Elephas maximus indicus: one gene and its partners. The protein of the gene in region 4 purifies or fractionates together with the protein of the main gene of each other region. This does not show direct contact. Links are inferred from orthologs where the notes say so. Each region holds a gene or a part of one and is shown on either strand. Other genes may lie near its edges. The genes, in order: EXOC6, EXOC8, EXOC7 and EXOC3.

Evidence for each region.
Region 1: the proteins of EXOC3 (region 4) and EXOC6 purify together in Homo sapiens (affinity purification with mass spectrometry; 6 studies listed by BioGRID and IntAct, counting the BioPlex papers as one, with this or other methods). This does not show direct contact. The link is inferred for Elephas maximus indicus from reciprocal best matches to the Homo sapiens genes EXOC3 and EXOC6.
Region 2: the proteins of EXOC3 (region 4) and EXOC8 purify together in Homo sapiens (affinity purification with mass spectrometry; 5 studies listed by BioGRID and IntAct, counting the BioPlex papers as one, with this or other methods). This does not show direct contact. The link is inferred for Elephas maximus indicus from reciprocal best matches to the Homo sapiens genes EXOC3 and EXOC8.
Region 3: the proteins of EXOC3 (region 4) and EXOC7 purify together in Homo sapiens (affinity purification with mass spectrometry; 5 studies listed by BioGRID and IntAct, counting the BioPlex papers as one, with this or other methods). This does not show direct contact. The link is inferred for Elephas maximus indicus from reciprocal best matches to the Homo sapiens genes EXOC3 and EXOC7.

The regions. Positions count from the first base shown.
Region 1 is NC_064834.1:44,080,172-44,087,862, forward strand, and holds the start of EXOC6 (exocyst complex component 6), read left to right. Parts: upstream 1-4,465; 5' UTR 4,466-4,526; coding exon 4,527-4,627; intron 4,628-7,691. UniProt on the Homo sapiens protein: Component of the exocyst complex involved in the docking of exocytic vesicles with fusion sites on the plasma membrane.
Region 2 is NC_064842.1:33,312,879-33,320,901, forward strand, and holds the start of EXOC8 (exocyst complex component 8), read left to right. Parts: upstream 1-4,912; 5' UTR 4,913-5,038; coding exon 5,039-7,216; 3' UTR 7,217-8,023. Other genes in the region: DNA-dependent metalloprotease SPRTN, read right to left, coding at 2,996-3,095, 4,283-4,503. UniProt on the Homo sapiens protein: Component of the exocyst complex involved in the docking of exocytic vesicles with fusion sites on the plasma membrane.
Region 3 is NC_064837.1:66,346,686-66,355,096, reverse strand, and holds the start of EXOC7 (exocyst complex component 7), read left to right. Parts: upstream 1-5,324; 5' UTR 5,325-5,396; coding exon 5,397-5,456; intron 5,457-5,666; coding exon 5,667-5,732; intron 5,733-8,411. UniProt on the Homo sapiens protein: Component of the exocyst complex involved in the docking of exocytic vesicles with fusion sites on the plasma membrane.
Region 4 is NC_064820.1:480,903-488,134, forward strand, and holds the start of EXOC3 (exocyst complex component 3), read left to right. Parts: upstream 1-3,841; 5' UTR 3,842-3,920; intron 3,921-7,232. UniProt on the Homo sapiens protein: Component of the exocyst complex involved in the docking of exocytic vesicles with fusion sites on the plasma membrane.

The DNA of each region.
Region 1 (7,691 bases), on a different chromosome or scaffold from region 4:
CCCATCCCTGCTACTCTGTCCCTCGAAGTGTTTGGTTGTGTTCAGGAAACTTCTTAGCTTTTGGTTTAGTCCACTTGTGCTGATTTCCCCTGTATTGCATGTTGTTCTTCCCTTCACCTAAGATAATTCTTGTCTACTATCTAGTTAGTGCATACCCCTCTCTCTCCTTCCCCACCCTTGTAACCATCAAAGAATGTTTTCTTCTGTTTAAACCTTTTCTTGAGTTCTTATAATAGTGGTCTCATACAATATTTGCCCTTTCGTGCCTAATTTCACTCAGCATAATGCCTTCTAGATTCATTCATATTATGAGATATTTCACAGACTTATCATTGTTCTTTATCATTGTGTAATATTCCATTGTGTGAATATATCATAATTTTTCTATTCATTTGCCTGTTGAGGGGCACCCAGGTTGTTTTCATCTCTTTGCTTTTGTGAACAGCGCTGCAATGAACATGGGTGTACATACATCTATTTGTGTGATGGCTCTTATTTCTCTAGGATGTATTCCAAGGCGTGGGATTGCGATATCATATGGAACTTCTATTTCTAGCTTTTTAAGGAAGCACCAAATTGATTTCCAAAGTGTGAAACTCTCTTAATTTTAATTTCTTCAAATTAAATTGGGAATGATAAAAGTACCTCGAAGGACTGTAGTAAAGATAAAGTTAGATAATATAAAGGGCTTTGCAAATAGTCAGTGCTCAGTAAATAGCAATATGATTTTTATTTTGGCCTATAGCTGAGATTCTTTATTTGAGAGCCTTTTAGAAATGCATCACTTTAGAATAGGCTTTTTGGGAGCACTTTTACATATTTATATGTCACATCTATATTCATGATTAAAATCTACACAGCTATTTATTTAGGACCACTCTGCTTTCTTAGCAAAAACCTTCAGGTACTAATGCAGCTGTCAGAAGTCACGGAGGGAACGAACCAGCAAAAGCTGTTGCAGAAGGCAGAAGTGGTGAATAGACTTCCTTCCATCTTGACTTGAGTTGTGCTTATGTTGAAGCAATCTTTATGGGCAGGTGTTGAGGTAATCTTTATGGGCAGGTGTTGAAATAGGCCTGGAATGAAGAGTGCCTGAGCAGGGGTAGATTACCAGAGTGGGTGTACGGGGTGGGAGGATTTGAAGATGGGTTTGGATAGCTGGTGTTAGAATTGGTGAAGAGAAGGGGAACAGGTCTGGGTAATGAATATAGGAGAGGAATGTCCCAGCAGGAGGCAGCTGCCAATAGAAAACTGTCCTGCACCATGCCCGGCTCTCCTCACCTTCCTTTACAAAACAATGAGTTCTGGCCATGCACATTGACTGAGCTCAGCTAGTCTGCCAATAGAGAACTGGCTTTTTATTCTTTTTATTATCTTTGTAGAAGGGTATGGAACTTGGCCTAATTCCATAAGTCTCAGGTTCAATTTTCAAAAGGTTTCTTATCCTCTCTCAAAGCTGAGCCTTCAACTAGGATGTCTGGGCAGTACAAACAGCTTGTGATCAGCTTCTAACCCAAAAGTTAGTGGTTCTAATTCACTCAGTGGCTCTGTGGAAGACAAGGCCGGGTGAACTATTCCCATAAAGACTACAGCCAAGAAAATGCTATGGAGCACTTCTGTAACACATGGGGTCACCATGAGTCAGGGTCAACTTGATGGTGGCTAATAACAACAACAATACCAGGTGGGAGCGGCTCAGTAATTGGAGAGGCAGTCAACTAAGGAAAAATTCCAATTTTTTTACTGTCGTAAAATATATATAACAAAACATTTGCCATTTCAACCATTTTTAATGTGTACAATTCAGTGACATTAATTATATTCACCATGTTGTAGAACCATCACCACCATCTATTAAAATTCAATTTTTTTACAACTCCATAAAAAACAGTTGTACAAGAATCCAAAACACTGTGATCTAGGTATACAGATGTGGCTTGATCCAGGGATAAAACCTTAAATAACCAGAGGACTAGATGAACTTATCTTCTGGCAAAAGTTTATATTGTTTTTTGCATTGAAGCTCTTGATAAAAGTGGGCATCGGGGAATCTGAAGTAACATTCTCTGTTGGTGCTTCTATTAAGGCAACTGATTACAGCCACATTAGAGAACATTTTATTTAATGTCAATATATAAACAACAAGTTTGAAGAAACTAATTTTTTATGGTTTGATATTGTTCTAATTCCTAATTGTTACCAATCACAGATTAACCAAACTCCTACCTTATGTTCAGACCTGTTCGGAAGACTCCTTTCTAACTCGTCCTGAATTCTTTCTGGTGGCTTGAGGGCGGCAGCATTGTTTTGTTTCAAAACTCCTCCAGCTTTCTCTCAGCTATGTGCAGAACTCTGTGAAGAAGTACAGGAAGTTACAAAATCTAAAAAAAGTCATCTTTGAACTCAAGGACCTTAACATGGTGTGTGACAATACTGGTGAATTTGGGTAGAGGCTTTGTTTCTGCATATTCTCAACACTTATTGGGCCCATACTAAGTATGAGAGGTAGAATAATGGCTCCCTAAAGAGGTCCATGTCCTAATCTCTGGAACCTGTAAATGTATTCTTACATGGCACAAGGGACTCTGCAGATATGATTACGGTTAAGGACTTTGACATACATTATCCCGGATTATGTGGATGGGTTCAACCTAATCAGATGATTTCTTAAAAGCAGAGAACCTTTCCTGGCTGAGGTCAGAGCCAAAGGGAGATGTGACTACAGAAGAATGGTTAGAAAGACGCAATGTTGCTGACTTCGAAAATGGAGGAAAGGAGCTATGAGCCAAGAAGTGTGGGTAGCTGGGAAAGACAAGGAAATAAATCTCCCCTAAAACCCGTTGCCATTGAGTCAATTCCGACTCACAGTGGCCCTATAGGACAGAGTAGAACTGCCCCATAGTTTCCAAGGAGCACCTTGTGGATTTGAACTGCTGACCGTTAGGTTAGCAGCCATAGCACTTAACCACTACGCCACCAGAGTTTCCAAAATCTTCCCTAGAACTTCCAAAAAAGAACACAGTCCTGCCTAGTGAGACTCATGTTGGACACTAAATGTGTTTGTTTTTTTTTTTAAGCTAGTAAATTCGCAGTAATTTTTTTTAGCAGCAATAGAAAACTAATACAAACGGGACAATAATACAAGGTAGACACTAAAACTATTATTACCATTTACAATGGGTGAACTGAAACATGGTGGAATTAGGTCATACAGCTGAAGGAGCCAGGAATTAAGTTGAGGACATCTGTCTTCAGAGCTCAGGCTCTTAACTATTATACAATATATGGCCTCCATACCTTCCAGGATTTTGGGCAGGGGGGAGAATGGAGGTAAGCTTCAAGTAAAAGTTCACTGAAGGGAGTGAGTTATAGAGAGGGATAGTAAAGAGGTTGGTTGACTCAAAAGGAAGTTCAGAGCCCTGGGTTAATGGAGACCTGAGAGTAGTTGCCCCTCAGGCTAGGTTTGCATCCTGTTCCTGATTAATCTTCCTCAGTCAGTGCTTTGATCATGACAAACTGGTTTACCCAGAGTCCTACAAACATGTCATTAAACAAGACCCTTTTCTACACTGGTACCCTTGCCCAAACCACTTCACCTCTGTTTCCCACAGGTCTGATGTCCACCTCCTCCGGAGAGCTCCCCATCCCTCCTCACCCCAGCCCACAGCGACCCAGGGGCACTTGGGTTCAAGGACTTTGGCTTGAAATCACACATCAGCCCCTGGGTCTCTTGTATCTTTCCCATGGTGTCTTAGTTTCTTGCCATTTAATTTTTCTAGCGGTTATAACTCACTTCCAAGTTGACTGGCCCCTCATGAACTTCCTGAGAGTACGGATATGAATCCATCCAGAGCGGGTTGTCAAGGTCACCGACTTATTGGTTCATTCCTAAGATAAACCTTACAACACACAATTTTGCTTTTCTTGAGTGCATGTCCGCCTTTCTCCGACTCCCCATTTTCGAGTCGTAGCGACCCCATGTGATAGAGTAAAACTGCCCAATAGAGTTTTCCAGAGTATGTTAAGCCCGTTGTTAAACGTTCTCATAGCTTTTATTACATATTATTTGGCGATGATTACTTGATTGCCCACCTTCCTCATTACTGCTGTATCTCCAGCGCGTAGCAGAGGTTCAGGAACACAAAAATATATGTTAAAGCCAAAAGGTTTGTCACTAGGTGACAACTAGGAGTAAGTCGTGGGGGAGGGGGGGGAGGTGAAGCCGCACGGCGACCTCAGCGAGTCTCAACTCCCAAACGCTGGCAGCACCTTGACTTCTCGAAGGTGCCGGCGCCGAAACGCCCCCGCGCCGCCGCACTCTTCGCGCCCGGGTGCCCCTACGCCCTCCGCTCCCCGCGCCCCCGCACCACCGCCCCTCGCACCCCACCCTATCCCCGCCCCACCGCCCCTCGCACCCCACCCTATCCCCGCCCCTTTCCCCGCCCCCTCCGCGCTCGCGACACATGCCGCTCGCCCCCGCGTCCGCGCGGCGCCGCGCCTCGCCGGCTCCTTAGCGTCCGGCCAAGATGGCGGAGAGCGCTGAGGGTCTGGGCACCATCCCGGAGCACGAGCGGATCTTGCAGGAGATCGAAAGCACAGACACTGCCTGCGTGGGGCCCACTCTCCGGTAAAGCTCTCATGCCCCCGGGCTTCGGGCTGCCCCCGCCGGCAGCTCTTCAGCAGCTGGGCGGGGCGCTCACCGCCAGCCGCGCGTTGGGCGGCCCGACAGGTGGTGCGCGCGGGGGCGCTGCCGGGGCGGCGGACTAGGGCCCGGGCGGGTGTGGGCGGCTGCACCTGTCCGCGTGGTGGCGGCGCGGACCTCCTCAGCCGCGGGAGCTGTCACCGCGCAGCCAGTGGGTGTGGCTGCCTTGGCCCTTCTGACCCCCGGAGGCGCGGCGGCGCTGCCCCGCGTTCGCCCGCCGGCCCCGGCCCGGGGTCCCCAGGACCCGCCTCAGGCCTGGCCCGCTCCGCGTCTGCAGGGCGGCTAAGGTGGCTGACAGCGGGAGTGACCGGGGCGAAGGTTACCTGCCGGCAGCCGGCGTGACCGAAGTGCCGAGGCGCGCGCGGAAGAAAACCCTGGCGCGATGGGCTGCCACGGGCGTGGGGGAATGGAAGTTAAGCGGGAGACTCCAGCACCATTATCCCGGCGCACGGCCCTGAGTGGGCGAGAAGGGAGCGTGGGCTGGCGGGAAGGAGCTGAGGCTCAGAAACACGCTGGTGTTAACTGTGTGCTCACAGAGCGTGCCTCTGGGGAGAAAGCTTTCACTTATTCACGAGCGTTTCGTTAATTTTGCATCAGTTTTTCTGTTTATTTTAAAAAGGACCCTAAACCACCCCCTTAAGAATACAGTACTAGGTAATCGATATTCTGTGCCAGCTTGAATACCTGCTGTCCTAAAAGAATATTATCCAGAGAATGTACAGATCCATTAGATTAGGTTAGGGACTCTCTTCAAGAATAAAAACCAGTTTCTGTCCAGTGGATTCTGACTCATGGCGACTCCATGTATTGCACAGTAGAGCTGCTCCATAGGGTTTTCATGGCTGTAACCTTTGAGAAGCAGATCACCACATCTTTCTTCTGAGGCACCTCTAGTGGGTTCCAGGTGAATTAGAACTGTCAGCCTTTCTGTTAGGGCAGAGTGCTTACACTAGCTCCACCCAGGGAATTTAAGGTTTTATGTTTAGCAGTGATGATGATGAATGAAATTACGATTCATTTGGTCAGGGAACTTTGGGCAGATTTTGCTTTATCATTAGTATTTTCTTCAGAATACACTTCCTAGGAATGGAGCAACATATGATTTGTGGACCTGTGGATGTAGTTACATTGTAAATTTACCTTTCCCTGAGAGTCAGGAGTCCTGTGTTTTTGCTTTGCCCTTGTCTTGCCACTGATGAGGTGTGCAGTCATGGGTAAAAATAATTTAACTTCGCTGGACCTGGGTTACTTTATTTGCAGAATGGGGAGATGGAGTTTTGGTGCCTAAAAACTTGGGACAGTAGGGACCTTGTCTATTTGTTCACTTCTGTATCCCTAACACCAAGCATGTGTTAGGCATGTGATAAATTTTTGTCGTATGAAGTTCCTGCTGTGAACGATAATTAGTGCATTTCCTTAAATTTCCAAGGTAATTACTTCTTTTCATAAAACTATTTTGGTAATGAAAGTAGAAATCATGGATTAAAAGGATGTTTTGTCCTTCTTACTGCATGGCGAGACTGAAACAATACAGGATGTGGTATAGTTATAAGAGAAGTCCATTTTTGAAAGTAGTGTTGCTTGAGAAGGAAATGCTTCATCTTGGGAAAAAGAGATAAAATTAACATGGAAGGAAATTTTGAAATAGATTGAGAGGCTTTTGGGACACAAACAATACAGTTGATCTGAAAATTTTGAAATAGATCGAGAGACTATTGGGACACAAACATTACAGTTGATCTACATTATTTGTGAATTCGTATTTGTGAATTTGCGTACTCACTCGAGTTTATTTGTAACTCCAAAATTAATGCTTAGTGTGCTTTCACAGTCATGTGCAGAGTGACAAAAAATTTGAGTCACCTTATATACATGTTTTCAGCTGAGGTCAGACAAGGCAGTGCTCTGCCTTCTTGTTTCAGCTCTCAGACTGTCAGCAAGTGTCCTTTTTGCGATCTATTTAGTGCCATTTTTTTCTTACATTTTTGTGCACTTTGTTGCTGATTTTGCTGTTTAAAATGGCCTCCAAGCATAGTGCTGAAGTACTGTCTAGTGTTCTAAGCATAAGAATGCTGTCATGTACCTTAAGGAGAAAATATGTACGTTAAGTATGTTAGATAATCGTCATTCAGTTGTGAGTTATAGTGGTGTTGACCATGAGTTCAACGTTAACCAGTCAACAATATATATTAAAGGAAGTGACTTTAAACAGAAACACATAAAACAAGGTATTGTGGTAATGTTAACAAAAACGTTGTGACCAGAGGCTCAAAGAAACCCAACCCTCTGTTTCCCCTAGGAGCAGTGGTTCAGCATACACTAGTTCAGTGTGCAGCGTGACTTTATAGAACATGACTGCTGTGAATAATAAGAACCAACTGTATATGTGTTCAGTGTTATCATCCAGTTCTCTTTTGCCAGACAGTTGTGTCACCTGCTTACTCTGTTGAAACCCACTGTTTAGCACACTGCAGTGACTATATATACACTGGTCATCTCTCATGTGGAGCCCTGGTAGCGCAGTAGATAAGAGCTCGGCTGCTGACCATAAGGTTGGCAGTTTCAAAATACCAGCTGCTCCTTGGAAACATTATGGGATAGTTCTGTTCTATACCACAGGAATCAACTCAACGGCAATGGGATGGGACACCTCTCATGTATAAGCAGAGTAGGAATCAACTCAACGGCAATGGGATGGGACACCTCTCACATATAAGCAGACTCTTTGTTTGCCTACATAAAAGGCACTGCTAGTAGTCCTTTCTCTTGACCAGTGTTTGAGCTACTCCTATTTCCCCCTATTTTTTTCTAATTTCATCAAGTAAAATGCAAATATTATATTTTTCAAAATCCTTTATTATGGAGAATTTAAATGTGAACCCATCATCTAGCTCCTGGCCAATCTTGTTTGGTCTTTTCCCCATCCACTCTTTCTCATCCTGGATGATCTTGAAGCAGATTCCAGACATCCGTTTGTCCTACCGATGTT
Region 2 (8,023 bases), on a different chromosome or scaffold from region 4:
CAGAACAGATCATCAATTGCTCATATGCAAGTTCAGGTTGAAAATGATGAAAATTAGAACTCATACGACCTTGAGTATAACCCCCCGAACTTGGAGAACACCTCACAAATAGATTTGACGTGTTGAACCAGTAACCACTGAAGACCAGACAAGTTGTGGAATGACATCAAGGACATCACACATGAAGAAAGCGAGATGGTTAAAAAGACAGGAAATAAAGACAAGACCAAAATGGATGCCAGAAGACTCTGAAACTTGCTCTTGAGCATCAAGCAGCTAAAGCAAAAGGAAGAATTGATGAAGTAAAAGAAAGGAAGATTTCAAAGGGCAGCTTGAGAAGACAAAGTATAGTATTATATCAACACGTGCAAAGAGCTGGTGATAGAAAACCAAAAGGGGAGAACACGCTCAGCATTTCTCAAGCTGAAAAAACGGAAGAAAAAATTCAAGCCTCGAGTTGCAACAGTGAAGGATTCTATAGGGAAAATATTAAACAACGCAAGAAGCATCAAAAGAAGATGGAAAGAATATACAGAGTCATTATACTAAAAAAAACAAAAAACTGGTTGACATTCAACCATTTCAAGAGGTAGCATATGATCAGGAACCGATGGGACTGAAGAAAGAAGTCCAAGCTGCTCTGAAGGAAGGTACTGGCAAAAAACAAGGCTCCAGAAATTGACAGAAAGTCAGCTGAGATGTTTCAACAAATGAATGCAGCGCTGGAAGTGCTCACTTGTTTATGCCAAGAAATTTGGAAGACAGCTACCTTGCCAACTGACTGGAAGAGATCCATACTTATGCCTAGTCCCAAGAAAGGTGATCCAAATGAATGCAGAAATTATCAAACAATATCATTAATATCACATGCAAACAAAATTTTGCTGAAGATCATTCAGAAGTGGCTGCAGCAGAATATCAACAGGAAGTGCCAGAAATTCAGGCCGGATTCAGAAGAGGATGTGGAACCAGGCATATCATTGCTGATGTCAGATGGATCCTGGCTGAAAGCAGAGAATACCAGAAGGATGTTTACCTGTGTTTTATTGACTATGCAAAGGCACTTGACTGTGTGGATCATAACAAATTACGGATAACACTGCGAAGAATGGGAATTCCAGGACACTTAATTGTGCTCACGAGGAACCTGTGCACAGATCAAGAGGCATTTGTTCAAAAAGAACAAGCAGACGCTACATGGTTTAAAGTCAGGAAAGGCGTACGTCAGGGTTGTATCCTTTCACCATACCTATCAATCTATATGCTAGGCAAATCATCCGAGATGCTGGACTATATGAAGAATGCGGCATCAGAACTGGAGGAAGACCCATTAACAACCTGCATTACACAGATGACACAACCTTGCCTGCTGAAAGTGAGAAGCACTTACTAATGAAGATCAAAGACCACAGCCTTCAGTATGGATTATACCTCAACCTAAAGAAAACAAAAATCCTCACAACTGGACCAATAAGCCATATCATGGTAAATGGAAAAAAAGACTGAAGTTGTTAAGAATTTCATTTCACGTGTTTCCACAAGCAACAACCACGGAAGCAGCTGTCAAGAAATCAAGACACGCTGCAGTGGGCAAATCTGCTGCAAAGGACCTCTTTAAAGTGTTGAAAAGCAAAGACGTCACCTTGAAGACTAAGGCGCGCCTGACCAAAGCCATGGTATTTTCAATTGCATCATATGCATGGGAAACTTGGACAATGAATAAGGAAGACCAAAGAAGAACTGCCTTTGAATTGTGGTGCTGGCGAAGAATATTGAATATACCATGGACTGCCAGTAGAATGAATAAATCTGTCTTGGAAGAAGTACAACCCAAATGCTCCTTAGAAACAAGGATGGCAGGATTACGTCTTACATACTTTGGAAGTGTTAGCAAGAGGGATTGGTCCCTGGAGAAGGACATCATGCTTGGTAAAGTGTAGGGTCAGCAAAAAACAGGAAGACCCTCAACGAGATGGACTGACGTGGTGGCTATAACAATAGGCTCAAACTTAACAATGATTATGGGCGCAGTGCAGGACCAGGCAGTCTTTCATTCTATAGTACATAGGATCGCTATGAGTCGGAACTGACTCAATAGCACCTAACCACAACATTTTTGTTTCAATTTAACCCATCTTGAAAATGGTACATGGCACTATATTGGACGTCTGTTTTTTATATATGTACCATTTTCCACATTTAAGCCAGATGCAAGACTCTACACAACACATTGCCAATACACCTCTTTTTTTCACTACTACTCTGTATCTGGCCAAAAGCAACTACTCAGCACATAAAATAAGACTAAATGAGCATACCAACCCAGGGGTAAGGATGAGAAAGCAGGAGGGGACAGGAAAACTAGTAATGGGGAACTCAAGGTCAAGAACGGAAGAGTGTTGATATGTCATGAGGTTGGCAACCAATGTCACACACTGATATTGTGCATTGTTTAATGAGAAACTAATTTGCTCTGCAAACCTTCATCTAAAGTGCTATAACAAAAAAGCAACTACTCCTGGTAGGGAAGAAGTCACAAGTTCTGCGCATGAAGTGTGCCCTCAAGCTGGTTTTTGCTGCCAGCTCAGCTAGGTGCCCTGGAAGGGAAGCAGTGTGGAAGTAGGATAGAGGAGAAACAAAATTTGCATGGGAAAACTTGGATCCTAAGTTCTTCTCTGCTTCTAAATTATATATCTTAAACCACTTACTGATCCTCTATGAACCATAATTTTCTCGTTTATAGAAATGAGGATCACAGCACACACTGAACATCAACAGGGTCGTGGTAAAAATCAAATGCAATAATATACCTTAAAGTCATTCATCTATGATGCACTATAAAAATAAAAGGTAATCATTAATTGTCCCACACTCAAAATTTGTACAGAGGAAAAACAATTTTAAAAAAAATGTACAGATTAATTCACAGAAGTCTAAACCAATGGTAAGCGTTTCTAAATTACTGAGCTAAAAATCAGGTTTGTGCAAAAAATACCTCTACGAGATCCTTTCTTGGTCTTAACTTTAAAAGGGGTTCACTGAGTCGGATGGAACACATTCCACCCCTCCCTTCATAGCTGCATATCCCAGCACACCTGCAAAACAAAAACCACAAAAATGTGTGACCATTACCAGTTATACATTAAGAGAGAAATACAGATAACTCAGCAAATCCTGATACACTCTTGGGCGGTTCACACTAAGAGAACTCTCTTGATAGATGGTTTTCTTGAAAGTTATCTCCTCTGAGTTATATTTGCCTTTCACCCCAGTTAGGGAGATAAGCGAGCAGTAGCGGCTTCCCTTACCCATCAGGCTGCAACAGCTCAAAGCTAACCCTGTTCTCCTACTCCTAGTCTCTGCACAAGCTATAATCAGTTTGTGGCACTAACAGGCAGGTACGTGTTCTAGCAGCACATCTCCAAAATTATAACAGAAGCTTATATGAGGGAGATTTGCACTTTAAAAACACTTTTAATGTATCTTAACTTGTCTGACACTAGGTTGTTTCGTAATTCAGAAACAAGCATGATGGTATACAACTGCACCCTAAACTTGATAAGCCCTCTCATGTCTGAGAGTAGGTTATTATTTCAAATCCGAATTTCTTAAACTTAAAGAGTGTAGAAAAGAAATCTTTAATAAGTATCATTAAAGATCCCTTGGGTCCAGAAATATGGAAAAGTCCTCCTTCCACAGTCCAACACACTAAGTGGTGCCATGTCAATGAGTATAGAGGAAGACAACACATTCTTTGGCGATTTCTTCCCGGCATTTTTCTTAGGGGCAGACGCTGGTGCTCCTCCTTCTTGGGTCCTAAAGCACTAAACTGAAAAACCATCAAATCCGTTGCCGTCGAGGGGATTCTGACTCACAGAGACCCTATAGAACAGGACAGAACTGTCCCCACTGGGTTTCCAAGACCTTAATCTTTATGGGAGCAGACTGCCACATCTTTCTCCCGCGGAGCACCCGGTGGGTTTGAACCAAAGACCTATCGGTTAGCGGTGGTGTCCTTTTACCACTTCGCCACCAGGGCTCTTTTAGCATAAGATTAGTTAAGCTTTATCTATCCATTCTCTAACGACCTAATGTGTAGCAAAAAAAAAAAAAAGGCACCACCACAGGACAAATCGGAAATGTGTCCATTTCTTCTCAACTGAGTTGAGAGTCAAGGTCCTGTGCTCTCACTGTGTCCCTATCCCTCAAGCGTGTGGGCCCCGCAGCTTTCCTAAAGCTGTCAGGGCAGGTGGAAGAGGAGGCCCACCCGGCCGGGACTCACAGGGTCATTCGCACGCTCCATTTCACCTCCACAGCCTCCAGCTGGCCCCAAAAGAACCGGTCGTTGAACTGCACGAAGAGGGCCTGCAGGTCCGGGGTGGGGTCCACCAGCTCCCAGGACGCGTCCACCAGCGACAGGGGTTCCTGGGCGCGGTCGAATCGCGCGGCCTCCAAGTCCCACTCCTCCTGCAGCTGCAAGGCCAAAACCAGGTCTTCGTCCATGGCGCCGGGTTGTGTGGCCCCCCAGCTGCTCCCCGGCGGCTCCTAGGAGATACCGGCTTCCAGCAGCTATCGCGAGAAGGCGGAATACCGGCTTCAGAACGAGCACGAAAGCTGACCTTCCCCAAGACGCCGAAGCCAAGATTCGAGGGCTAACGAAAATCCGCACCTCTTAGTTGGCGCAGAATTCAGTTCCCCAGGTTTGGCCGAGAAGTCGCCGGGAGCTGATACCGCCCCTACAGTTTCAAACACCAGACACCAGCCTCCATCCATGCGCAGAGCCTGCACGACTGCCTCCACCCTCACTCACTTCCGCGAAAGCGCTTAGGGGCGCATGCGCCCTAAGCAGCTGACGCTTCGGCGCAGGCGTACTCGCTAGCGCGGCTCCTTGCGCAAGCGCAGTGCCCGACTCTCAGACCCGAGCGCAGGCGCGTTCACCTCGCTTCGTCCTGCTTCTTCAGCCTGGAACTCATTCCGGCTGGGTGGGTCTCGGCAGCGGCAGCTGTACTGACAGTGACTGCCCGCGAGCCGGACGGAAATGGCGATGTCGATGTCGGACAGCGGGGCGAGCCGTCTGAGGCGGCAGCTGGAGTCGGGCGGCTTCGAGGCTCGGCTGTACGTGAAACAGCTCTCTCAGCAGTCGGACGGGGATCGGGACCTCCAGGAGCACCGGCAGCGCATCCAGGCGCTGGCGGAGGAGACGGCGCAGAACCTGAAGCGCAACGTGTACCAGAACTACCGGCAGTTCATAGAGACGGCCCGCGAGATCTCCTATTTGGAGAGCGAGATGTATCAGCTCAGCCATCTGCTTACCGAACAGAAGAGCAGCCTGGAGAGCATCCCACTCACCCTGCTTCCTGCCGCCGCCGCCGCCGGAGCCGCCGCGGCCTCTGGTGGGGAGGAGGGGGGAGGTGGGGCGGGGGGCCGAGACCACCTCAGAGGCCAGGTCGGCTTTTTCCCCACCCCTGGGGGCGCCTCCCGCGACAGTTCAGGTCCGGGTGAGGAGGGAAAGCAGCGCACCCTCACCACCCTTCTTGAGAAGGTGGAAGGCTGCCGGCACCTGCTAGAGACGCCGGGACAGTACCTGGTGTACAACGGGGACCTGGTGGAGTACGAGGCGGACCACATGGCCCAGCTACAGCGGGTGCATGGTTTTCTTATGAACGACTGTTTGCTGGTGGCCACCTGGCTGCCACAGCGGCGGGGAATGTATCGCTACAACGCTCTCTACCCCCTAGATGGCTTGGCCGTGGTCAATGTCAAGGACAACCCACCCATGAAGGACATGTTCAAGCTGCTCATGTTCCCGGAGAGCCGCATTTTTCAGGCGGAAAATGCAAAAATCAAACGGGAGTGGCTGGAAGTGCTGGAAGAAACCAAGAGGGCCCTTAGTGAGAAAAGACGAAGGGAGCAGGAGGAGGCAGCAGCCCCCCGAGGGCCGCCCCAAGTGCCTTCCAAGGCCAGTAACCCATTCGAGGATGAAGAAGAAGAAGAAGAGGTTGTTCCTGAGGTGGAGGAAGAGAAAGTGGACCTCTCAATGGAATGGATCCAGGAGTTACCAGAAGACCTGGATGTCTGTATTGCTCAGAGGGATTTTGAAGGGGCCGTGGACCTGCTGGATAAGTTGAACCATTATCTAGAAAATAAGCCCAGTCCACCTCCTGTGAAAGAATTAAGGGCCAAAGTGGATGAGCGTGTTCGCCAGCTCACTGAGGTATTAGTTTTTGAACTCTCTCCAGATCGTTCCCTGAGAGGCGGTCCCAAGGCTACTCGCAGAGCAGTTTCTCAGCTCATCCGATTGGGCCAGTGCACTAAGGCTTGTGAGCTGTTTTTGAGAAACAGGGCAGCCGCTGTGCATACTGCAATAAGACAGCTTCGCATTGAGGGTGCCACCTTACTGTATATTCATAAGCTGTGTCATGTCTTCTTTACCAGTCTTCTAGAGACTGCAAGGGAATTTGAGACAGATTTCGCAGGCACTGACAGTGGCTGCTATTCTGCCTTTGTGGTCTGGGCGCGATCAGCCATGGGCATGTTTGTGAATGCTTTTAGCAAGCAGGTGTTTGATAGTAAAGAGAGCCTCTCTACAGCAGCAGAGTGTGTAAAGGTGGCCAAGGAGCATTGTCAGCAGCTGGGAGATATTGGATTGGATCTCACCTTCATCATCCATGCCCTTCTGGTGAAAGACATCCAGGGGGCCTTGCACAGTTACAAGGAAATCATAATTGAAGCCACTAAGCATCGCAATTCTGAGGAGATGTGGAGGAGGATGAACTTGATGACTCCAGAGGCTCTGGGTAAACTCAAAGAAGAGATGAAGAGTTGCGGGGTGAGTAATTTTGAGCAGTACACAGGGGATGACTGCTGGGTGAACCTCAGCTACACTGTGGTTGCTTTCACCAAACAGACCATGGGCTTCTTGGAAGAGGCCCTGAAGCTGTATTTCCCAGAGCTGCACATGGTGCTTTTGGAGAGCCTGATGGAGATCATTTTGGTTGCTGTCCAGCATGTGGATTATAGTCTGAGGTGTGAGCAGGACCCAGAGAAGAAGGCCTTTATTAGACAGAATGCATCCTTTCTCTATGAAACAGTCCTCCCTGTGGTGGAGAACAGGTTTGAAGAAGGTGTGGGGAAACCTGCCAAGCAACTCCAAGACCTGAGGAACGCATCCAGGCTCATTCGTGTGAATCCCGAGAGTACAACATCAGTGGTCTGATGCATGGATCAATTTATATATAGATACATATATATTGCTTATATATTATTTATATTAAGTTACATTAGCGTGTTTTTTATAGTCTCAAACACAGCTTAAAATTAAATGATGCCCTCACAGGTGGAAATGCAAAATCAAAAGGAGAAAGAAAAAATACTAAATTAAGCCAAAATAACAAAAATGATGGAATTATTAAAATACACTTTCCTTTTAAATGATGTTAATTCTCTAATGAATATGTGGTCACATTATAGTATTTCAGCTTATCCTTTGAGTCAAAGCACACTTTCTCGCAGTATATATTATACAGCACAGAGAAATAATGTCTATAAATGCAGAGAGTATAAATATGTGGTGAAAAATGTCCCAGTTCACTAAAATGTTAGTTTTCTTCAAGTACTTAAAGGGTATGATACTGTATAAAACGCCCTGTCTCATATATTTCACCACCTTAAAATGTGGTGGGACAATTTGGGGAAAAGAAAGGTGTTGGAAAATTGGTTTTAGGGTATATTATAGTCAAAAGAATTCTTTCTTTAAACTAGTGTGTGGACTCAGATACTCTGGTCTTTATAGAATACAAGAGAAAGCTTTCATAAACATATTTTTAAAACATAATTTGATTATTTTCAGCTGCTGATTAAAGAGCAGCTCTATAATCTCAAGGACTGTGATAAAGCAATTTTTTCAGTGTATTCCTGAATTGTGTAAATTTTCAGCTGGAGTTTTTGTCGTATTAAAAAATAATAAAAAACAAGACACATTGAGGAACCTGGCAGGAGTGATTGTAGCCGCCCCTGTTTCAGT
Region 3 (8,411 bases), on a different chromosome or scaffold from region 4:
AGTGTGTGTGTGAGAGTGTGGGGGTGTGTGTGAATGTGTGTGAGAGTATACGACAGTGTGTGTGTGAGAGTGAGTGTGTGTGTGAGGATATATGACAGTGAGTGTGTGTGTGAGAGTATGTGTGGGAGAAAGCATGTGTATGTGTGTGCGTGTGTGTGAGGGTATATGACAGTGATTGCGTGTGAGTATGTGTGTATATATGACAGTGAGTGTGTGTGTGAGAGTATGTGTGGGAGAAAGCATGTGTGTGTGTGTGTGAGGGTATATGACAGTGATTGCGTGTGAGTGTGTGTGTATATATGACAGTGAGTGTGTGGGGCGTGTGTGTGTCAGCATGTGTGAGTGAACGTGTGAGAATTTGTGTGGGTGTGGGTGGGTAAGTGTGTGTGGGTTAGAGGTGGGGATCTGAAAGCTGAGAGCTGGGAAAGGGGACAAGCAGTGACCCCCTGGTCCCGAGAGGCTCCCTGCCCCTGGAGATGCCCCACAGTGGTGAGGAATCATCTACCTTGTGTCACCTGGGCCTCCCAGCCAGCTTCCTGCCTGGCCTGAACCATTCCAGCTCCAGCCCAGGAACCAGAAGCAAGCCCCTGTCCTCCTCCAAGCTGGGCCGATGAGAGCGCGTTTAAAAAGTTAAAGGAAAAATTTCCCTCAGGTGTTGGTCACCCTCCAAGTCCAGACATTGGAGAGCTTTTGGCCTGGGAGCTGGTGTCAGAATAGGCGGTCAGTGGCCAGGGTTTTCCAGTGTCCTGAGGCAAAGGTTAACCAGGCCCAGGGACAGCAAAGGGGCTGTGGCACATGGGCAGCTAGAAGCAGAATAATGGCTGGGTGTCACCTCAACTCAATTGGTCACCTCTCCGTCCACCTTGACTTGGGTTCTCATCCACCTTAGTGTCTAAAAGGCCCCAAGTCAGACTAAGGGCTCCAGTATCTCCCTATGAGTCTGCCTGAGGTGTTCACTGTCCTGATTTGTAACTCCAGGGACACCATTTGCCAGGTGAGACTGTGGCCCTGGAATGTTCCAGCTGATCCCAGGAGGACCATTCTGACTTTTTTGTGTGAGCCAGCCTGCAAGAGCATGCAACATCACGACTGAGGAAATGGAGCATCTGCTTTCCAGGCTTAGCTCTGGCACTTTCTAGACATGTCTCTGTGCCTCAGTTTCCCTGTAAGGACAACAATGCTACCCCATAAGATTGTTGTGCAGTTTACTGGAGAAAACCATTGTAAAGGCTCAGCGAGGTGCCAGGTACGTGCTGATACTCAGATGCCACTGGCTCTGTATACACATACCCCAGGCTTTCCTCCTGAGTGGTAAAATGTGGGGAATGTCACTCCCGTGTCCCCTCAGCCAGTGCCTTATGGCCTGTGTTCTTTTAATAAGCCATCCAGCGCTCGGCACGCACTGCCTGGTGATTATGGTTTCCTTGACCTTCAAGAATGATCCCATGGGCAGCTCGGGATGCTATCAGGGGCTCAGGACTGTCTTGGGGCAGGTGAGGTGAGGACTCCAAAGGTTCTGGATAAGTTAACTGTTTGGAATCAAAACACAGTTCTAAGCAATAGGCTTCCAAATTCACTGCACAGTCTGTTTACTTCGTAATATACTTGAACTCCAGCTGGAAAGACCATGAGGGCCAGGCAGGTGCTGGCTAACATTTCTTGAGCACCTACTATGTGCCAGGCCCTTTATGTAGGTTATGTCACTTAATTTACCTGAAATCCTTTAAGGTGGGGTCTTTTGGAACACTCGGTGTTTTAGTTATCTGGTGCTGCTATAACAGACATACAACGAGTAGGTGGCTTTAACAAAGAGAAATTTATTCTCTCACAGTCCAGGAGGCTAGAAACCCAAATTCAGGGTGCCAGCTCCAGGGGAACGCTTTTTCCCTCTGTCAGCTCTGGGGAAAGATACTTGTCATCAGTCTTCCCCTGGTCTAGGAGCTTCTCAGTGCAGGGACCCTGGGTCCAAAAAACGCACTCCTCTTCAGGTTCTTTCTTGGTGGTATGAGGTCCCCCTGTCTCTTTGGTGGAGTCTCTCCTTTATATCTCAAAAGAGATTGATCCAAGATACAACCTAATCTTGTAGATTGAGTTCTCCCTCACCAATATAACTGCTGCTAACCCTACTTCATTAGCATCATAGAGTTAGGATTTGCAACACATAAGACAAACACATCAGGTGACAAAATGGTGGACAATCACATAATACTGGGAATCATGGCCTAGCCAATTGACACACATTTTTGGGGGACACAGTTCAATCCATAACACGTGGTCTATTATTCAAAGAGGCCCTCCCTTGGCTGAAGTCACACAACTAGTAGGTAGCAGGCCTTTGGTCAGTGGAGGCCTATCTGACCTCATACCTCAACTGTTTCTCTTTCACTCTATGCCTTCCATGGCACTAGAACTAGGCATCACGTGACATACTCCCATGGGAACATATATCCACGGTTCCTAACCTCAAAGCCAGAATCCCGTTGGCCTCACAGACCTCTCCTGGGACCTACCCTGAATAAGATGAGAAGTGGGGATGGGAGGCAGGGGATGCTGGTCCCTGGTAGAGAGGGGCAGGAAGGGACGCAGAGTCTTCTCAGCCACATCTTTTGGTATGGGTATTTCTGCTGGTCCTGACGCTGTTGCTGTGATCCTCAATTTAGAGAGAGTTCACCCTTGTCCACTTGGTGATTACCTCAGAAAGCACACCCCAACCTCCTTCCCGTCGTGCCCTCACTCTCGACGTGTATCCATGAGTTCACCTCTCCCCTTTGGTCCTCCTCCCATGCCCCTGCTCCTCCCTCACACTTATGGCCTTGACCCTCATGCACTCATTAGTTTATTTGTTCATCACAGACATATCGGACACCCGCTCTGGGTTGGGCCAAGGGAGCTGGGGAGACAGGCTTTAGGAGGCGGGCTGACATCTTCTGTTTGCTCAAGGTGACGCCATCAGCTGTGCTGACCTGACTTGTCTCTTGCTTGTGTATGAGTCCTTTCTTGGAAACCAAGAGCAGTCAACTGCGATGACAAGTGGCCCCATGGCTGCCTTTGATCTGCCCTCATTCGGGCTCCCCCAACCACTCCTCTGCTCCACCTCTTGTCTGTGAGATTCAGGAATTGGCCCTTCTTCCTGGCAGAGGCCCCTCTCCCTGCTTCCATCACTCAACTGGGCATGGTGCCCCAAGTGACATCCCAGCCTCTCTGAGGACCTAAAGAATACACTGCCTTCCTGCTTTCCTGCTGGCCTGCCGTCCATTCTCTGTTCCACCTCCCCACCTACCTGTGAGCTAGCAGTGGGGGGCTTGGCTATGATTGGCACCTATGTGTTCTGCACAAGCTTATGGATGAAGTCAAAGGCTTCTGAGGCTGCAGCTGCAGTTTGCTCCTTTTGCTAAAGCAGCTTGTGCTGAAGATAGTTGGGGAATTATAGCTTTTATGGAATCAATGTCTGCTTATCAACACACGTTTTCATTGGGTTGAGAATAATTTAAACTCATCTTGCCATTCTGTCAGGTCCTTGGTTGGCCCAGAATTTGTGCTCGACTAATAACTGAAAGGTTGGCAGTTTGAACCCACCCAGCAGTGTTGTGGAAGAAAGCCTGGCGATCTGCTTCTGTCAAAATTATAGCCAAGAAAACTCCATGAAGTATAGTTCTACTCTGTAACACATGGAGCCACCATGAGTTGGAATCGATTTGATGGCAACAGGTTTGGTTGTTTTGGTTTTCATTTTGTCTACCTTTTAGTTCATGTGGTTGTCATAAATATAACCTGCTTTTCACAGTAGATTTTCTTAAAAACCAGATTGGCAGCTTTTCATGATCACAAATGAGACTCTTGAGCTATTCAGCATGGTGAGGTAGAGGAACACAGCCAGGGCTTTACCTGCTCTGGCTGGCCAGGTGGACTTTGTACAGCTTACATCTCCAAGCCTGAGCTTCCTCATCTGCACAAGGAAGACAAGAGTGGCACCAGACTCACAGGTTTATTATGAGGATTAGATAACACTAGGACAGTTATCTGTATCAGAGGCGGGCAAACAGAAGGCTCTCAGTAAATGGTAGTTGGCTACCAAATTATATACTTGGACTTTGAAGGAAATTGAGACTACAGAAAATCACACACATACGTAGTTTATTTACAAAAATGCAATAGCATTGTACAAACTTTAAAATGTTTGCTCGCAATCAGAGAGGATACCCTTCCTCAAACCTAGAAAGCAAGATGTTATTTTTCTTGAGCATCTACCATGGGTTAGTGCTGTTCAGAGGCTCAGAGAGGTTAAGTGCTAGGGTGCTAACTGAAAGGTTGGAGTTCAAACCCACAAGCCACTCCAGGGGAGAAAGATTTACAGCCTTGGAAACTCTATGGGACAGTTTTACTCTGTTCTATAGGGTCACTATGGGTCATCAGAGTCGACTGGAAGGCAACAGGTTTGGTTTTTTTGGTTTGGAGCTCTGAAGAGGGGGTCCTGTCAGCCTCCCAAGCCCATCTGATTTCCCCAGAGCTCCTGTGAGCCATGCTCCCTGCCCGTCTAAACACCTGCAGGCAGGCCTCTCTCTCCCTAGCTGGTAACAGTGCGCTTGCCCTGCAATCCCTCAAGCAGGCTTGGGGCCTTTCAGCCTTCCTCTTGCTGCTCTCCTAGACCTATGAGTTGGAGTCAACTCGGCGGAAATGAGTACGGTTTATTTTTTTGGAAGTAGGCTCTATCAGAAGTAATTCTCTACCACCAGGGTGGTCCACACACCCTGCAAATAAAATAGCTCTCTCCAAACCAGGCACCTAGGTGCGGCTTGGGGAGCATGCTCCGAGGCCCCAGGATGGATGCCCCAAGGACTCTGCCACCCCAGGTACCTGGCTGGGCCGTGCACAAGTTAGGACTGTGCTCAGGACCCGCTCAAGGGGAAACGACTACACCCCCAGGTTCATTAAATGCGCATGCAGGCGTCTATTGTGTGACACGCTCTGTGCTGTGCTCTGTAGGGAACGCAACGTCGGCGCCTCGACCCTGAATGCAATTGGGGAAGCGAATTCGTCGCCTTCCCAACGGTCTCTGTCAAAACGGTCGGTCTTCTCGCAAGGCCGGCAAGTGACCTGTAACTGTCCTGACAGCCGCAGGTAGCGTAACACAGTTCCGGAACCTTCTCTACCGAGGCAGGAATCCGCACCGACGGGAAACTGCAGTGCGCCAGGCACGCCAAACTTTCCACCCACACTCGCGATGGCCACTTGCTCTGCTGGGCCCCGGGAGGCGCACTTCCGCCTGCCACTCCCAACATGGCAACCAGCGCTCCCAGGGGCGGGGCCAAAAACGGAAGTGGGTGTGGTAGGGACGGGAGCCGAGCGGGACCGCTGGGACCCCATCCTGGGGCTTGGGGTCCGCAGGGTTTGGAGAGATGATCCCCCCGCAGGAGGCCTCCGCCCGGCGGCGGGAGATCGAGGACAAGTTGAAGCAGGTGAGGTTGGGGCTGGGCATAGCGGGGGAAGGGGTGAGGGAAAGGGGCCGAGATTGGGGCCCGGGCATCTACTCCCCGAGGAGGCAAGTGGGAGGGGGCACTCCTAGCGAGGAAATGGGGTCGGGGCGGGGGTCGAGACAGGGGCCGCAGACGCGCTGATCTTCTTTAGTCTCTGGCTCCTGGTCATGTCCTTCCCTCCGCTTCCCCCAGGAAGAGGAGACGCTGTCCTTCATCAGAGACAGCCTGGAGAAAAGCGACCAGCTCACCAAGAATATGGTGAGTTACTCCTCAGCTGGGAGAGGCAGATGGGGCTCCTACCCTACAGGAGAGCGATGCGACCCTGCGCTCCCTGGGCACCCAAGGCCTGGGGTTTTGGCATGGGTGGCGATGGTTGGACCGTGTGGAGTTCTCTGGCAGTAACATGGCATCTAACTTACCTAGCCCCCGTCCCCATGTTCTAACCCGTGTGGAGGATCCTGCAGTCCCCGCTAGTCTGGACTTTCTAAAGCTCTCTGTCCAGGCTTTCCATTTTCCCTTCTCTCCTTCAGCAAACATTTAGTGAGACGGACTAGGTGGGCTAGTCACTGGTCATATGCCACCTCCAACTCAAGTGACAGAAAGTCCCTTATAGGGATGGCATTTTGAGATTACTTAGGCCAGAGAAGACACAGCTTTCACTCCAGAGGACATTAGGGGTAGAAGGAGCTTTGAAGTTGGACAGATCTGGGATCTAGCCCCTGCCCTGCCGCTTACCGGTGTGATTCTACACAGGTAAATCTGCACCTCAGTTAACTTGTGTCTTAGTCTTCTAGTGCTGTTGTGACAGAAATACTACAAGTGGGTGGCTTTAAAGAGCATAAAATTATTTCCTCACACTTTAGGAGGCTAGTCCAAAATTAGGGCACCAGCTATAGGGGAAGGCTCTCTTTGAGCTCTCAGGGAAGATCCTTGTCTCAGACTTTTTTCTTTCTTGGCAATCTTTGCATGGCATCTATCTTTCCCCGTTTGTGCTTGTTTGTCTCTGTGTCTGTGCTCCTGCTTATAACTCAGGCAATTAGGTTTAGGACAAACCCTACATTGATATGACTTAGATAACATAACAAAGACAACCCTATTTCCATATGGGATTACACCCATAGGTATAGAGGTTAGGGTTCCAACACATATCAGGAGGACACAGTTCAATTTCTAACAGCTTGTTTGCTAAAGCAGAGACAGTGCCAGCCTCTCAGTGTGGCGTGAAGGGTGTATGAGCTAATGCATGGGAGCACATCTTGCGCAGTGCCTGGTATACAACAGGTGCTCAATAAATACTAGTTTCCGTCTTTATTCCTAGGTGAGACTGCTGTTGTTAGGTACCATTAAGTCGGTTCCGACTCATAGCGACCCCATGTACAGCAGAATGAAACACTGCCCTGTCCTGCACCATCCTCACAATCGTTTTTTTGCCTTGACCCCATTGTTGCAGCCACTGTGTCAATCCATCTGGTTCAGGGTCTTACTCTTTTTCGCTGACTCTTTACCAAGCATGATATCCTTCTCCAGGGACTGGTCCCTCCTGATAACATGTCGGAAGTATGTAAGATGAAGTCTTACCATCCTTCCTTCTAATGAGCCTTCTGGCTGTACTTCTTCTGAGACAGATTTGTTCGGTCTTCTGGCAGTCCAAGGTATATTTAATATTCTTCACCAATACCATAATTTAAAGGCATCAATTCTTTTTTAGTCCCCCTTATTAATTGTCCAGATTTCACATGCATATGAGGCAATTGAAAACACCATGGCTTCTGTCAGGCACACCTTAGTCCTTAAAGTGACATCTTTGCTTTTTAATACTTGAAAGAGATCTTTTGCAGCACATTTGCCCGATGCAATACATCGTTTGATTTCTTGACTGCTGCTTCCAAGGGCGTTGATTGTGGATCCAAGTAAAATAAAATCTCTTACAACTTCAATGTTTTCTCTGTTTATTATGATGTTGTTTATTGGTCCACTTGTGAGGATTTTGTTTTCTTTATGTTGAGGCGTAATCCATACCGAAGACTGTGGTCTTTGACTTTCATCAGTAAGTACTTCAAGTCCTCTTCACTTTTATCAAGCAAGGTTGTGTCATCTGCGTATCACAGTTTGTTAATGAATCTTTCTCCAGTTCTGATGCCATGTTCTTCATATTGTCCAGCTTCTCGGATTATTTGCTCAGTGAACAGATCGAATAGGTATGGTGAAAGGATACAACCCTGATGCACACCTTTCCTGTCTTTAAACCGCATAGTATCTACTTGTTCTGTTTGAATGACTGCCTCTTGATGTATGTACAGGCTCCTCATGAGCACAAATAAGTGTTCTGGAATTCCCATTCTTCATAATGTTATCCATAATATGTTAGGATCCACACAATCGAATGCCTTTGCATAGTCGGTAAAACGCAGGTAATCATCTTTTTGGTATTCTCTGCTTTCAGACAGGATCCATCTGACATCAGCAATGATATCCCTTGATATTCCATCACCAATGAGATTCCACACCCTCTTCTGAATCTAGCTTGAATTTTTGGCAGTTCCCTATCGATGTACTGCTTTTGAATGATCTTCAGCAAAATTTTACTTACGTGTGGTATTAATGATATTGTTCGATAATTTCTGCGTTCTTTTGGATCATCTTTCTTTGGAATGGGTACAAATATGGGTCTCTTCCAGTTGGTTGGCAAGGCAGCTGTTTTCCAAATTTCTTAGCACAGACAACTGAACACTTCTAGTGCTGCATCCAATCGTTGAGGCATCTCAATTGGTATTCCGTGAATTCTTAGGTAAGACTGGACAGGAGCAATTTGAGTAGATGTAGACTCGGCATTTGTATTCAACAATAAAACAAGTCAGAATCAACTCCAGAGCAGCAGGTTTGGTTCTTTGGTTTTTAGTCCTTATTTAATGAGATTTACTCTCAAAGAGTGAGGGT
Region 4 (7,232 bases):
TCAATATTTAGACTGACTTGGCTGAATTTTTAAAACTGGTGCACTATAATGTCATTTTTTGTACTGTTTTCTCTGTGCCTTCAGAAAAAGCTTTCAAATATATTTCTGATACTTCAGTTCATATTAAATTTTTTATATCAATATAAAATGTTTAATACATGTTTACCATGAATGAAAATGTCTGAATGATTTTCCAAATGAAGTGACTTTATTTCCTTTAGTGTGTGTGGTTAATTTTCATCCTAACTCAGATCTTTAGTACTAGATAGACAGCAATAACACAAATATGCCTGAACCAAGAGCCTGGCTTTTGTTCTGTTGTACATAGGGTCGCTGTGAGTTGAACCCGACTTGATGGCACCTAACAACAAAGAGTCCCCTGAGGAGGAAGGACAGCCTGGGCCGTCCCTGCTGCCACACCAGCAGTACTATCTCCTCAGGGGGCTGACTCAGAGACCTCCTCTCCCCACTGCCCCCAGCTCTTCCCCAGACCCATCACTGAAGGTCAGGGAGTGCCCTGCCCCGTGAGGGTAAAGAGAAGGCAGAACTGAGGACGCAATGAGGACCCTGGATTCCATCTTGGTGGGGCACCTGGGGTCAGCCTTACCTGCTCTCTGAGCACCTGGGCAAGGGGCCTTCGTGGTGAAGGGGGCAGGGGGCAGGAGGCCTCGGACTTCAAGCCCCAGGCACAGCCACAACTTCAGGCCCCTTGAGAGGAGATGCCTTCCAAGGCCTATTCAGAGAATGCCCTAAACTGAACAAGTTCCAGGACCCTGTACAGAATCTAGATGTGCCCCTGCCAGTGGCAAGCTAAGCCCTGCTGGGTCCTCTGCGTCCACCCTACATGCCACAGCACACGCATCCCCATGGCGACCTGGCCTGCTCTGAGCCTCCTGAGACCTGCCCAAGCTAGACCTGCCCAGGCAAGACCAGACTGTGGGGGCCGACCTGCTCCTTTACTGCCTGCACCCTGCTGGGTCCAACGGAGGTGCTCACCTTCCCAAGCCTACTTCAGCCTACACCGCACATTTGCTCAGGGCCCTCAGGCCCTCCCCCCACTGCTTCCCCTTCCCTCTCTACCTACCCTGCTCCTCCCCTCACAGTCCTCCCCTTACACCCTCCACATAACTTCCTCCTTCTTACCCCTCCCTCCTCTCATCTTCCTCCATCAACCACACAGTGGGGGTCTGTGCTGTGCAGACAGGATTAGAAACAGGACCCTGTAGGGGAGGGAATGACAGCCCAGGAACACAGGACACTCACAAAAGAAACGCACAGGGCAGGGGCTTTGAGCTTCCTCTGCCTGGCTGACCAGGCTGCAAATGGAGGGAGCAGCCCCCACCCCGGGCCAGGTCAGCCTTTCTGCCCACACCCCCACAGTGTGAACCTGGACCCCACAGTGAAAGACCAGCAGGCCTGACTTCTCATCCCTCAGACAAGATTTGGAGTGTTGTGTGGCTTATTTCCCCGTAAAGGGCTGGGTCCCTGCCCACCAGAGGGCAGCCCTCCTGGCCTCCTGCCTATCCTGGCTCAGGCCAGTTGGCCTCACTCCAGTCTTGGCTTCCGGCTCAGGGCCATCACTTTTTCTTTATTATTTTAAACATGGAAGTAAAGAGCATAGTAAGCAGAGGTCCAGTAGTCAGATTTAACAAAGCTAACATTTTGGATACACATTCCTTAAGGAATTAACACTACAGGTACACTCAGAGCCACTGGTCTCCATCCCATCTCTCCCTCCCCAGAAGAAGTGGTCCTGAAGCTGCGCCATTCCCTCCTGCTGTCATACCTTTACTACATCTCCATCTATGGCGATGCACACTGCTCTGTAGCTCATATAAGCGGAGTGGTGCTAGTTTTCAGGATTCTTTTCCATGCTCTTTATAGACTCATCCATGTTGATACAGGAATGCATGCATCTGTGGTGTAGTGTTCCACAGGACTGGACCCCTTTATCCACGCTCCTGCTGATGGACATGTGGGCAGTTTCCAAATCTTCTGTACCCACTCAGCGCAGCCTGAACATGACCGCCCACCCTGCTGGGTCCCTATGCTGGGTTCTGGGTGTACACCAAGACACGGCAATGGCCCATACATGCTGCCTAACCGTCCTCTAAAGTGGTTGTACCAGGTTGTCATCCTACAGCCCCAAAAGGGCTCTTGTTTACTCACATGTCACCAATACAGGGTATTAACATTTTAATTTTGGTCTTCTGAGGGGCAGAAATGGTAGGTAGTTGTGTCATATGCATTTCATTAATTCATCATTCGTTCATTCAACAATATTAGTATTTGTTTAGTTCCAGCTGAGTGGCAGGCTATGTGACAGTGCTGGGGACATCTTAGGGAACAAGGGAAGCGGAAATCAGTGCAGTTCCAGAGCTGACATCCTCATGGGTGTGTGTGTGGGGTGGGTGGGTGAAGGTGGGTAGGCAATTAACAGTGACCAAAACAACTATGTAAGTTCTATAATGCATTAGAAGGGGACCAGTGGAATACAAATAAGTGGAGCAACCTGTCATTCCCACTGGCACTCATGCCATCGCATCTCCATCATTACTGGAGAGTGGTTTTACAGGGCGTTCAATGCAAAGCGAGACTGGGAAGGTGACATATGAGCCAGGACATGAACAAACAGTCTCAGCAGCAGGAGACCTGGAGGTGGGAGCTGGGGGCATGTTCTCAAAGCTGAGGACGCTGACAGTGGTTTCCCCTCAGTCCTATGAATGCTGTTGAGAAGACTGCTGTCATTCTAATTATCATTCCTTTGTAGATGCTAGGTTTTTTTAAGATTTTTGCTTTGTCTTTGATATAATGTTAGGAGATGGTGTGCTTCTTGAATCTTAAGTTTCGTATCTTTCATCAAATCTAGAAAATGTGCAGCCTTATCACTGTGATGAAACTCTCTAGTGCTTCTTCCCATCCTCTCAATTCTACCCTCTGGACTCTTGTTAAGAAGATGTTGAACCGTCCCCTCTAGACCCAATGCCTTTTAACTGTTCATATTTCTCAGTTCTTTATAATGCTGCATTCTGGACAATTTCCTCAGATACGTCTTCTAGCCCATTCTCTCCTGTTTTGTGGGGGGTCTACTCCTGCTTTTTTAAGTGTTGGCTGACTCTCACTCAAAGTGGATTATTCCCATGTGTGTTTTATAATTTTTTATTGGGATAAAGTTTCTTCGGTGAGGGCAAGTTTCAAGTATTGTTGTCACTGTGTGCCACCAAGTTGATTCTGACACAAAGCAACCATATATGACACAGTAGAACTGCTCCCCAAGGTTTCCAAGGCTGTAATCTTTATAGGAGCAGATCGCCAGGTCTTTTTTCTCACAGAGATGCTGGTGGGTTCAGACCTCTGACTTTAGCAGCCGAGTGCATAATCATTGCACCACCAGAGCTCCTCTGTGCTCCTCTAGGAAAGCTCTTATGTTTCCTCCTGTCAAGGTTGAGGAGTGTCTCTCTGGAAATGTTCCTGAGTTTGCTTCTGCCAAAGGATGACTTCTAGTTATAATCTCTAGACTGGAGAGTTTCTGGACCAACAAGTTTTTAAGATTTGAATTATTAAGTCCAAGCGAAGGCAGAATCATAGCTATGAGTTCTGGGGTTGGGGGATTTCTCACCCCCAGGATTCAGACAGGGCCAGGGAGCTTTCTGGTCATCTCCCAGTACCTGGGCAAAGTTGTTTTCGTTTCGCTTTGTTAAGGGCTTTTTTTTTTTTTCTGCTCCACCCTTTCACTGAGGAGCGGCCTATGGGGCTGCGGTCTCCGGTCCCGACGCTCACCCAGCCCGTACAGCGCCTCTGCGGGCTGGACGCCGCACCCCTGCGAGGACTGCCCTCCTCAGGCCCTTCCGGCCGCGTCGCCGGAAGCGGAAGTTCCCCGCACTGCTCGCTGCTGGCAGGGAGGCGACGACCGGAGGACGGTGAGACGCGGGGGCGACGGGGGCGCAAGGAGGGGCTTGGGCGGCTGGTGGTGTCGCCTGGGCCGGACCCCACCGACGCGCCTCGGTCCTCGGTCCGCTCGGCTCCGGCCCGACTCGCGGAGGAGGAGGCCGCGGTGGAGCCGGGCGGGACAGGCCGGGCGGTTGTGCGGGGCGGGGCGGGGCCGGCGGGGCCCGGAAGGATGTCCGCCAGGTGGACGCCTCAGGTGTTTGCGCCGCTGCGCTCGGGAAGGGCGGTTTGACAAGCACGAGGTGTGGCACTAGACCCGCACCTCCTCGTCTGTGATTTCAGAGTTCCCTTTCTGCCTTGTGGGCTGAAATCCCACTGAGGGGCCCCGGGGTGGTGGCAGCGTGCGGTGGCGTGTGTGCCTGTCCTCACCGAGGCCCCGGGATGGTGGCAGTGTGAGGTACCGTGTGTGCGTGTCCTCACCAAGGCCCCGGATGGTGGCAGTGTGCAGTACCATGTGTACATGCCCTCACCGAGGCCCCGGGGTGGTGGCAGTGTGAGGTACCGTGTGTGCGTGTCCTCACCAAGGCCCCGGATGGTGGCAGTGTGCAGTACCATGTGTACATGCCCTCACTGAGGCCCCGGGGTGGTGGCAGTGTGCGGTACCGTGTGTACATGCCCTCACTGAGGCCCCGGGGTGGTGGCAGTGTGTGGTACCGGGTGTACATGCCCTCACCGAGGCCCCGGATGGTGGCAGTGTGCGGTACCATGTGTATGTGCCCTCACTGAGGCCCCGGGATGGTGGCAGTGTGCGGTACCGTGTGTACGTGCCCTCACTGAGGCCCCGGGGTGGTGGCAGTGTGCGGTACCGTGTGTACATGCCCTCACTGAGGCCCCGGGGTGGTGGCAGTGTGCGGTACCGTGTGTACATGCCCTCACTGAGGCCCCGGGGTGGTGGCAGTGTGCGGTACCGTGTGTACGTGCCCTCACCGAGGCCCCGGGGTGGTGGCAGTGTGTGGTACCGTGTGTGCCTGTCCTCACCGAGGCCCCGGATGGTGGCAGTTGTGGTACCGTGTGTGCGTGTCCTCACCGAGGCCCCGGGTGGTGGCAGTGTGTGGTACCGTGTGTGCGTGTCCTCACCGAGGCCCCGGGTGGTGGCAGTGTGCGGTACCACGTGTACATGCCCTCACTGAGGCCCCGGGGTGGTGGCAGTGTGCGGTACCGTCTGTACATGCCCTCACTGAGGCCCCGGGGTGGTGGCAGTGTGCGGTACCGGGTGTACGTGCCCTCACTGAGGCCCCGGGGTGGTGGCAGTGTGCGGTACCGTGTGTACGTGCCCTCACTGAGGCCCCAGGGTGGTGGCAGTGTGCGGTACCGTGTGTACATGCCCTCACTGAGGCCCCGGGGTGGTGGCAGTGTGCCGTACTGTGTGTACGTGCCCTCACTGAGGCCCCAGGGTGGTGGCAGTGTGTGGTACCGTGTGTGCCTGTCCTCACCGAGGCCCCGGGTGGTGGCAGTGTGCGGTACCGTGTGTGCCTGTCCTCACCGAGGCCCTGGGGTGGTGGCAGTATGCGGTACCGTGTGTGCCTGTCCTCACCGAGGCCCCGGGGTGGTGGCAGTGTGCAGTACCATGTGTGCGTGCCCTCTCTGAGGCCCTGGGGTGGTGGTAGTGTGAGGTACCATGTGTTCGTGTCCTCACCGAGGCCCTGGGGTGGTGGCAGTGTGTGGTACCTTGTGTGCGTGCCCTCACTGAGAGCCCCGGGTGGTGGCAGTGTGCGGTACCGTGTGTGCCTGTCCTCACCGAGGCCCTGGGGTGGTGGCAGTGTGCGGTACCGTGTGTGCCTGTCCTCACCGAGGCCCCGGGGTGGTGGCAGTGTGCGGTACCGTGTGTGCCTGTCCTCACCGAGGCCCTGGGGTGGTGGCAGTGTGTGGTACCGTGTGTGCCTGTCCTCAGCGAGGCCCCGGGTGGTGGCAGTTATGGTACCGTGTGTGCCTGTCCTCACCGAGGCCCCGGGTGGTGGCAGTTGTGGTACCGTGTGTGCCTGTCCTCACCGAGGCCCCGGGGTGGTGGCAGTATGCGGTACTGTGTGTGCCTGTCCTCACCGAGGCCCCGGGTGGTGGCAGTGTGCGGTACCGTGTGTGCCTGTCCTCACCGAGGCCCTGGGGTGGTGGCAGTGTGCGGTACCGTGTGTGCCTGTCCTCACCGAGGCCCCGGGGTGGTGGCAGTGTGCAGTACCATGTGTGCGTGCCCTCTCTGAGGCCCTGGGGTGGTGGTAGTGTGAGGTACCATGTGTTCGTGTCCTCACCGAGGCCCTGGGGTGGTGGCAGTGTGTGGTACCTTGTGTGCGTGCCCTCACTGAGAGCCCCGGGTGGTGGCAGTGTGCGGTACCGTGTGTGCCTGTCCTCACCGAGGCCCTGGGGTGGTGGCAGTGTGCGGTACCGTGTGTGCCTGTCCTCACCGAGGCCCCGGGGTGGTGGCAGTGTGCGGTACCGTGTGTGCCTGTCCTCACCGAGGCCCTGGGGTGGTGGCAGTGTGTGGTACCGTGTGTGCCTGTCCTCAGCGAGGCCCCGGGTGGTGGCAGTTATGGTACCGTGTGTGCCTGTCCTCACCGAGGCCCCGGGTGGTGGCAGTTGTGGTACCGTGTGTGCCTGTCCTCACCGAGGCCCCAGGGTGGTGGCAGTATGCGGTACTGTGTGTGCCTGTCCTCACCGAGGCCCCGGGTGGTGGCAGTGTGCGGTACCGTGTGTGCCTGTCCTCACCGAGGCCCTGGGGTGGTGGCAGTGTGCGGTACCGTGTGTGCCTGTCCTCACCGAGGCCCCGGGGTGGTGGCAGTGTGCAGTACCATGTGTGCGTGCCCTCTCTGAGGCCCCGGGGTGGTGGTAGTGTGAGGTACCATGTGTTCGTGTCCTCACCGAGGCCCTGGGGTGGTGGCAGCGTGTGGTACCTTGTGTGCGTGCCCTCACTGAGAGCCCCGGGTGGTGGCAGTGTGCGGTACCGTGTGTGCCTGTCCTCACCGAGGCCCTGGGGTGGTGGCAGTGTGTGGTACCATGTGTGCGTGACCTCTTGAGGCCCCAGGGTGGTGGCGGTGTGAGTTGCCATGTGTACGTGCCCTCACTGAGGCCCCGGGGTGGTGGCAGTGTGCGGTACTGTGTGTGCCTGTCCTCACTGAGGAGTCCTGAGGTGGTGAGGAGTCCTGAGGTGGTGGGAGTGTGCGATACTGTGTGTACATATCCTCACTGAGGAGTTCTGAGATGATGGGAGTGTGTGATATTGTGTGTACACGTCCTCACTGAGGAGTCCTGAGGTGATGGGTGTGTGTGGTACTGTGTGTACATGTCCTCACTGA